Linked DNA regions of Rattus norvegicus. The protein of the gene in region 1 purifies or fractionates together with the protein of each later gene. This does not show direct contact. Links are inferred from orthologs where the notes say so. Each region holds a gene or a part of one and is shown in the gene's direction. Other genes may lie near its edges.

What was found. Proteins that work in one complex are often made in the same cells at the same time.
Region 2: the proteins of Copa (region 1) and Copg1 purify together in Homo sapiens (affinity purification with mass spectrometry; 6 studies listed by BioGRID and IntAct, counting the BioPlex papers as one, with this or other methods). This does not show direct contact. The link is inferred for Rattus norvegicus from reciprocal best matches to the Homo sapiens genes COPA and COPG1.

Annotation. Positions count from the first base shown.
Region 1 is NC_086031.1:87,077,574-87,081,673, forward strand, and holds the start of Copa (coatomer subunit alpha), read left to right. Parts: upstream 1-1,294; 5' UTR 1,295-1,400; coding exon 1,401-1,440; intron 1,441-4,100. Other genes in the region: Ncstn (nicastrin precursor), read right to left, coding at 1,093-1,174. UniProt on the Homo sapiens protein: The coatomer is a cytosolic protein complex that binds to dilysine motifs and reversibly associates with Golgi non-clathrin-coated vesicles, which further mediate biosynthetic protein transport from the ER, via the Golgi up to the trans Golgi network.
Region 2 is NC_086022.1:121,922,474-121,926,763, forward strand, and holds the start of Copg1 (coatomer subunit gamma-1), read left to right. Parts: upstream 1-1,488; 5' UTR 1,489-1,594; coding exon 1,595-1,631; intron 1,632-2,645; coding exon 2,646-2,698; intron 2,699-3,035; coding exon 3,036-3,116; intron 3,117-3,323; coding exon 3,324-3,395; intron 3,396-3,547; coding exon 3,548-3,627; intron 3,628-4,290. UniProt on the Homo sapiens protein: The coatomer is a cytosolic protein complex that binds to dilysine motifs and reversibly associates with Golgi non-clathrin-coated vesicles, which further mediate biosynthetic protein transport from the ER, via the Golgi up to the trans Golgi network.

The DNA of each region.
Region 1 (4,100 bases):
CTAAAAGATGATTGTCCAAAGTCTTTGACTTCAGATGTGCCAGCGTCTAGTTGCAAGGGTAAACAAATCTGCTTTTCTAATTTGTATAGATACATTACTAATTAGTTATGAAAAGAGCTCTGGTTTAAGAATATTGATTACCAAAACCAAACAAAGAAAAGCATTAACAACAATAAAAACCACCTCAGAATCTGAACAGACCTGGGGGGAAGAAACCTTATGCCACACACCTGTTCAGTTAATGAAACATCAGACCATTTGGGAGCACACCTAGAGTATGGGGCAGCTACAGTTTCTCCCTTGAAGCTAGTCAAAAGCAATATGAGTGTAGAGAAATATAGAGTCATGGTTATACAAGGAAATGGTTGCATTTCAGGGCTTAACTGGTAAGCCATACATTTCCAAAAAAGTATAGCTTTTCTTAACTCTTAGTTGAACGCATTATAAATAATTACAGGTGTGTTACTGATTGTAATTCACAATTGCAAGATCACTTAAATAGACATTAGATTAGAAAAAACGAAAATATTCATATACATTAAACGTCTTAAATTCCTTGAATCATTACTTTCCTCTTAACAGTTTAGAGCAGCGAAGCTAACGTTAGCCTCACTTTAATAAGTAAAGAGAATAAGGAACACAACTTTAAGCTAGAACCAACAGGAGGAAATGAGAGCTCTTATTTTGCAACGTTGCACGGAGACCACAAAACAAGACTGTTTTGATCTAAAAAAACACTAAACCAAAGGAAAGAGGATGAGCTTTTCACACCTGTCCCTTTTAATTGCTGTTGGGGTGGCTGGGCTTTAAATAAAACAAGGCATACAAGGCATGCGAATAAGGTTGAAGAGAAGCAGGTTGGAAACCCAGAAAAGGGCTGGGGAGAACTAAGCGAAACGACATGCCTCCGGAGAGAAGAAATGAAGGTTCAGGTAAAGGAGGAACTTATGTCATGGGAACGAAAGACAAGAAGGATTTACAGGGCTGGGGACAGAGGGGAAATCGGAACCAGAAGGGCAACGCTTGCACTTGCGACGAGCTGTTCCGCACGGTTCCTCTTAAAGATCAGAGGTCCGGGTGGGGTGACCTCACCTGCTAGTACCACGGAAAAAGACAGAAGAAGGAGACCCCGACTTCCTGGGTCAGGCCCAGAGCCGCCCCTAGCCGTAGCCATCTTGCCTCTCCGCTGGGCGGAAGCCTCGGGTCCCTTCCAGTCTCTTAGCGGTCTCTCTAGGCTTCCGCTGGCATCGTCTCTGTGGCCCAGCGCTCCCCAAACCGGAAGTTCGTGTCTGAGGAGCTTCCGGGAGCCGCGACCTGGGGTAGCTGACGTGGAGCCTTTGGGAGTGCAACCGGGAGCGGCGGGATCCGCTAATCTGACCTGGGAGCCGAAGGCCTGAAGGATGCTAACCAAATTCGAGACCAAAAGCGCGCGGGTGAAAGGTAGTGAAGAAGAAGAGGGGAACTACGGAGGTTGGATGGTAGGGGAGGTGCTGTCACCAAGGAAGAGAGAATGGGAGGACCCGTTGACCGAATTGGGCCTACTGGAAGAGCCCAGAGGAATAACCGAGGGGAGGCGGGTTAGGGTTAGTGGAGTCTCTGCAGTCTGCACTGCTTAGTGGGTCCTGGGACTTGGATTTACTCGTGTCATGGTTCGTTTGTGTTTTGTAGGAGAGCTCTTAGGCCCACTTCCTATTCTTTCCGTCCATTTCTTATGGGGGTGTGTTCCAGCTCTTTCTTTTCTTAAGGTCTTGTGACTTGTACGCTTTTTGATGACCATGTTGTATGGAGTACTTTTGGGGATTGATTCTCACCTTCTGTCACTGTAGCTTTTTCCGGAGTCAGTCACTGGCTACTCCAGTAGCCTGTCTGCACCATTTTAATGTCCAGCGCTTCCGTTGGACTTTTTTTTTTTTTTTCTTTTTTGCCTATTTGGAATTAGGGAACGTAAAGCCCTGCTACTGGTAGGATTGTCCGATGAAATACAAGATGCTTTGTATTAGATTTGAATACTAGATAAACAATTTTTTTGATAATCTGAAAGACAAAGGCCTGAGATCACACTCTTTCAAAATGTTGATGTTAGAAAAGCAGGGAATTAAGTCTACAGAAATCTGATAAAAATATATCTGGAATATTTTGTAATATGCATTATAGTAAAGTGGTTTAGAATGTGTTCATTGGAGTCAATCGAACTTGCTTAGGAATTCTGAAACATCTAAACAAGCCACCTTATGTGGCTTACTTAACTACTTCTAAATCTCTATATGCTTATCTTTAAAAATAAGGATAATTAACATTTTCTTATAGAGAATTAAAATGAGAAAGTATATTAATGTGATTATGATATGCCTTGGCCAGACTTAGTACCTCAAAAACTGGAGGCTATTTAATGTGAGACTATATTCTGAGAAGTTTCTAAGTCTCATGGGAAATTTGATTGTAAAGGGTGCCATTAAGAATTCTCAGTACCACCAGGGTTACACAGAGAGACCCTGTCTCAAAATGGCAAGAAAGAAAGAAGAGAAAAGAATCATCATCTCTGGTGCCAGTCATGATGGCTTTAATCCCAGCACTCAGGAGCCAGATGAGGGTGGATCTCTGTGAGTTGGAGGCCACCTGGTCTACATATCTAGTGACAAGCCTACACACTGAGACCCTATCCCCACTCCACCCCCCCAAAAAAGGTGCTATGGGCTGGAGAGAAGGCTCGGTTAACAAAATTTACTGTTCTTGAAGAGGACCTGAATTTGGTTCCTAGTTCAACAGCTCACATCCACCTGTAATTCCAGTTCCTGGTGACCTGACCCCTCTTCTGGACTCTGTGGGCACCTGAACTTCCATGTACATATACATAATTAAAAGAACAAACAAAAACCAGCTTCTGGTATTTAAGTAGTTGAAATGAGTCTTCATTTTCGATGAGCTCTTTTCAGCTTTCTTCTTGGGTACTAGAAAGGGGTGGGGGAAATCAGTACTTGAGAGTTCATTAAGAGTGCTGGATCAGAGCCGAGAGGGCATACTGTCCCTACAGAGTTTGGTTCCCATCACTCAAGGCATGTGGCTCGCTGCTGCCGGTAACTCCAGCTCCACAGGCTCCAGTGCCCTCTTCTGCCTCAGGCACCTACATTTCTGTGCACATAACCTCTGCACAGGTACCCACAATTAAAAATATAAAAGTGCTACGTTGGATGTAGTGGTTCATATCTGTAAATCCTAGCTCGTGAGAAGCTGAGGCAGGAGAATTGCTACAAATTGAGACTACATAATGAGGCCTGTCTCAGGAGGGGTTCACGTATATCATAAAAATAAAGGAAACCAAGGCCCTGGGTTCGGTCCCCAGCTCCGAAAAAAAAAATAAAAATAAAAATAAAGAAAACATCATACAAAATAAGTGTTTTCATTAACTTGCTATTAGAGTATATTCCTCTAATGCTTTTACAGCTAAGCAATAGCTACCAGAGTTGGCTGCGGTGACTCACACCTGTAATCCCAGCACATGGGACACTAAGGCAAGAGGGTCCCTGCAAGTTGGGAGACCAGTCTAGACTACAAAGTGAGGCCATGTTGTAAAAGACCCTAATGTTCCTGGTGCGATAAGGCAGGCAGATCTCTGAGTCTGAGGCCAGCCTGCACTGAACAGCTAAGACTACACAGAGAAACTTTAGCTCTGAAAAAAACTTGAAAAAAATTACCAAAACTTTTTTTTTTCTTTTCTTTTTTTCGGAGCTGGGGACCAAACCCAGGGCCTTGCGCTTGCTAGGCAAGTGCTCTACCACTGAGCTAAATCCCCAACCCCAAATTACCAAAACTTTAAACGTACATGTTCTAAGCCAGTGGGCTGATGGCTCAGTGGGTAAGGGTGCCTGTCACCAAGGCTTGATTCCCCATGACCACATGGTGGAATAAGAAAGCTGATTCTCTAGGGGCTGGGGATTTAGCTCAGTGGTAGAGCGCTTACCTAGGAAGCGCAAGGCCCTGGGTTCGGTCCCCAGCTCCGAAAAAAAGAACCAAAAAAAAAAAAAAAAAAAAAAAGAAAGCTGATTCTCATACATGTGTGCATTTAGACACAAACATATTTAGACACAAACATATATACACAC
Region 2 (4,290 bases), on another chromosome or scaffold:
TTGTGGAATCAGCTGTAAAGCAGGTTGTCTCCTACCTTTATGTGAGTTTGTTAGAAGTTAGGGGTTGCAGAGAGAGGAAAGAGGGGTGGGGGAGAAAGAAGGGGGAAGGTGGAGACCACCCCTCCTATTGTAGTATCCTCCCAGGCAAACATGACTTTTGATTAATAGGGTGTGCTTCCAAGAAGAAGCACGCAGACATGGGAACCACATTTTTATTCTAACTCAGGTGGTGACATTGTCTTTTAGTTTTAAAAGAATCCCAGTGGGGTTGGGGATTTAGCTCAGTGGTAGAGCACTTGCCTAGCAAGCGCAAGGCGCAAGGCGCAAGGCCCTGGGTTCGGTCCCCAGCTCCGAAAAAAAGAAAAAAGAAAAAAGGGAAAAAAAAAAAAAACCCAGCAAAGGAATTTAAAGGGGAAAAGGTCAGTCACATTAATCTGAGAGTAGCATGGCCTTTTTACAAAGTTAACAAAATTTTTACTGGGTGTGGGTATTTAAAATTTTGTATTAAAAGTCTTACAAGGCGGAGGAAGATAAACAATATTTGGATTCCTTGTCAAAACACAAGTTTTACAGTATTTAGTAGAAAAGACTCATTTCATAATTTTCACAATTGAACCAGGTCCTCAGGTTTGGCAGCAAGCACCTTTATTTACCAGCTGAGCCACCTCATTGGCTCTATTTTTTGAGGTGGAAGTCATGTAGCTTTGGTTGGTGCCGGAAGATGGCCTTGAACTCATCCTTTCTCTGCCTCATGAGTGCGGAAATTACAATGTCCAGTTATATCTCAATTTTTTTTTTTCCGGAGCTGGGGACCGAACCCAGGGCCTTGCGCTTGCTAGGCAAGCGCTCTACCACTGAGCTAAATCCCCAACCCCGTATATCTCAATTTTTAAAGCACAAGTGTACATAACTCTAATATTCATTGGCTTACAAAACTAGACTTTGATGGAATCGGTTCCTTGGCTAGCAACGGGTGCCCTTTTCCCCCTTCGCGCCCCGTCTCCCGCCTACGACGACCCCCCTGGCACAATCCTTGGGGACAGTGAACTTGTCCGAGAGCAGCTTCCCAATAAATTTGCCTTTAAAATATTCTAACCTGGCTTGTTGGCTCATTTCACCGGCGGCGTAAAAATAACCTATCAGTGAGACTTCCGGAAAATGACAATAAAGAGTAACAGAGAACGTTTATGGGGTCAGCGTGCTGCAACTCTCCCAATCAGAACGCCCTTTAAATTCAGCCGGCAGCAACTGCAAAGACATCAGCCACCGGAACACACGGGGGCGCAGAGGCGGAGCACCCGCAACAGCAGGTCTAAGGCCCCGCCCCATTGCTCAGCCACGCCCATTTTCCTGAGTCTCATTCCTAGCCTTCCGCTCTCCTCCACTCAGCTAGATTTTGACTGTCTCCGGGCAGGCAATGAAGGTGTAACGTGGAAGCAGTTGTGCGCAGGCGCAGACGATAGAGTGCGCAGGCGCAGTCCAAAGAGCAGTGCTCAGGGCGACGTGGCGGGCGGGAGTACGGAAGCCGCTGGGAGAAATTGATCTCACCGCTACCCTGAGCATCTTTCTATTGCGTGGAGCTACCGCTGGCACCATGTTGAAGAAATTCGACAAGAAGGACGAGGAGTCTGGTGAGGGACCCTTGAAAGTGTTGGGAAGGCCAGATCCACGCGGGGATTCACGCGACCTTTCTAGGCTTCCTTCTTCCGGGCCTCTGTCAGAACAAGATTCGAGGCCAGAGAGGGGCAGGGGCTTGTGCGCAGGTCCATAGCAATTCTTGGAGAAGACGTGCTGTTTGCACTCTCCAGTTCTGGTCAGAATTGATGCGTGACCTTGTGCGGGTCACGCACCTCTCTGGACCTCAGTTTCCCCATCTTGTCAGAGGAGGTTCCAAGGATGGGTGCTCCCTTGTATTCCACCCGACCTCTTGGTATTTGCCAAAGCTGCGTTGGTTCTTTGCCTATCTGGGTGCAACCAGTCCAGCAGTTAATAACCCTGACTGTTTCTTTCACTCATTCAATAAACTACATCAGGAACCTCACTGATCCTGATATTGCAGTACCTAAGGCAAGTGCGACACTAGATGCCTGCAATAGGAATGTTAGGATGGTCACATAATGGAGGAGCCAGACAGTAACCAGATAATCACATGCATAATTACTTAATGTAATATCTGCTGTCATCTCAGTCACAGGTCAGTTAGTGTTGGTTGTCCCTGGCACATAGACTCACTTAAGTTCTGGTTGTACGAGTCAATGCTAAATGTTATACCTTGAGAGTCACAGAAAGAATGCTAGGTGACTGTGAGAGGACCTTGACTGCCTCTGGAAGATGATATAGACTTCCTTCCCGTCCCCGTGTTTGGCAGAATCTTGAAATTTAGGGTCCCAGTTTGGGGCTGTAACAGTTGGTAGAGTGCTTGCCTAGCATGCATGAAGCCTTGTGTTTGATCCACAGCACTGCGTAAACCAGGAAGTAGAGGTAGGAAGATCGTCCTCTGCTAAAATTTGAGTTCAAGGCTAGCATGGAATACGTGAGACGCTGTCTCAAAAAAAAAAAAAAAAAAAAAAAAAAAGAAAAGAAAAAGAAGGAAAGAAATCTATCCAAGATCACAACCTGTAATCAGTCTTCTCTGTTCACTGTAGGTGGAGGTTCCAACCCCCTCCAGCACCTGGAGAAGAGTGCAGTACTCCAAGAGGCAAGTTCCATCATACCTGTGTCTGGTCAGGGATGCCTGCCAGCCCTGCTGTCAGACACTAACATACATAGAGTGCTGGTTTACAGAGCCTGGGCCCAGGAAGGTGGGACCTACTAATTATATTGCTAAGTGTGACTAGTACGAGGGCAGCACAAGCAGAGACTTGGGGTATTACCTAGTCATAACGTAGATCAGTTAAGAGAAATAGGCTCTCCCCACTTGAGAATACATTTGTGTGGACTGACACACCCCGTGGTTCTCTAGGCCCTTCATGAACTGAGGGGCAGCTGTGGAATGGAAGTGTACTAGGCTAGAGGTAATGGTTGCTTCTTCACAGGCTCGGGTCTTTAACGAAACTCCTATCAACCCCCGGAAATGTGCCCACATCCTCACCAAGATCCTTTACCTCATAAACCAGGTAACAAGATGGGGCTTGGCAGGGAGTACAAGGGGGACTGTGTAAGTGGGGATGTACCCTTAAGCTTTCGATTGACAGCTCTGTGATTGGAACCAACAGTCTAGCCCTGGGTCCTCTTAAGTTTCCAGCTCTCATTTGTTGCTTGTGCTCCAAAGGTCTAGCCTGCTGACCTCCTGTCCAAACCTGCGTCTTTTCTGATTACCACAGGGGGAGCACCTGGGGACCACAGAAGCAACTGAGGCTTTCTTTGCCATGACCAAGCTCTTTCAGTCCAATGATGTAAGTACGTCAATCTGCATGTCTGCAGATGTGACGCCTGTGACAGGGTAGCTGGCAGGAGGACAACTGCCTTCCACACAGTCAGGCTCCTCTTGAGTCAGGTCCTCTCCCACTGAGCAGGACTGATAGGGTCTTCTCCATGTCTTTTCCAGCCCACACTCCGCCGAATGTGCTACTTGACCATCAAGGAGATGTCCTGCATCGCTGAGGATGTCATCATTGTGACGAGCAGGCATGTCTTGGGCAGGGGTGGCTCCTCTGGTGGGACCCATTGACAGAGACAACTCGTACAGCCAAGGGACTCCTGACATCTGGCCTGTGCCCTGTCCTCCTAGGCCCACCCCCTGCCAGCCTCTAGAGTGGTCTGCTTCTTTCTCACTTCTCTGGCCTTGCTTCTCTTCCTCCTCCTTAGACGGCACAACCAGTGTGGAGCTTTCAGAGAGTCTTTAGTCAGTGCTAAGGAAAAGAAAAACAGATGCAAGAAATCCTTCAGAACTGGGAGTCAAAACTGGACATGGTGCTATACACTTGTACTTACAGCGTTTGGTAAAAACAGGAGGATAGCTGCCAGTTTGAACCTGCTTGGGCTACATAAGAAGATGTCACCAAGAAATAAAATAAAACAACACCCCCCCCCCCACACACACACACCTAGTTCTTTTATTTCTTATTGACATTGCTAGCCAAGGAGAGGGTCCATACAGCCAGTTTCAGGTACATTGATACTTACTGGGGCTGGAGAGATGGCTCAGTGGTTAGAGCACCAGTTGCTTTCCTAGAACCCACATCAGGAGGCTTAAGAGCATCTGTTACTCCAGCTACAAAGGACTCTGATGTGTCAGAGGGCACCATACTCAGGTATACATACTCACATGCAGACAGATACTTACATTGC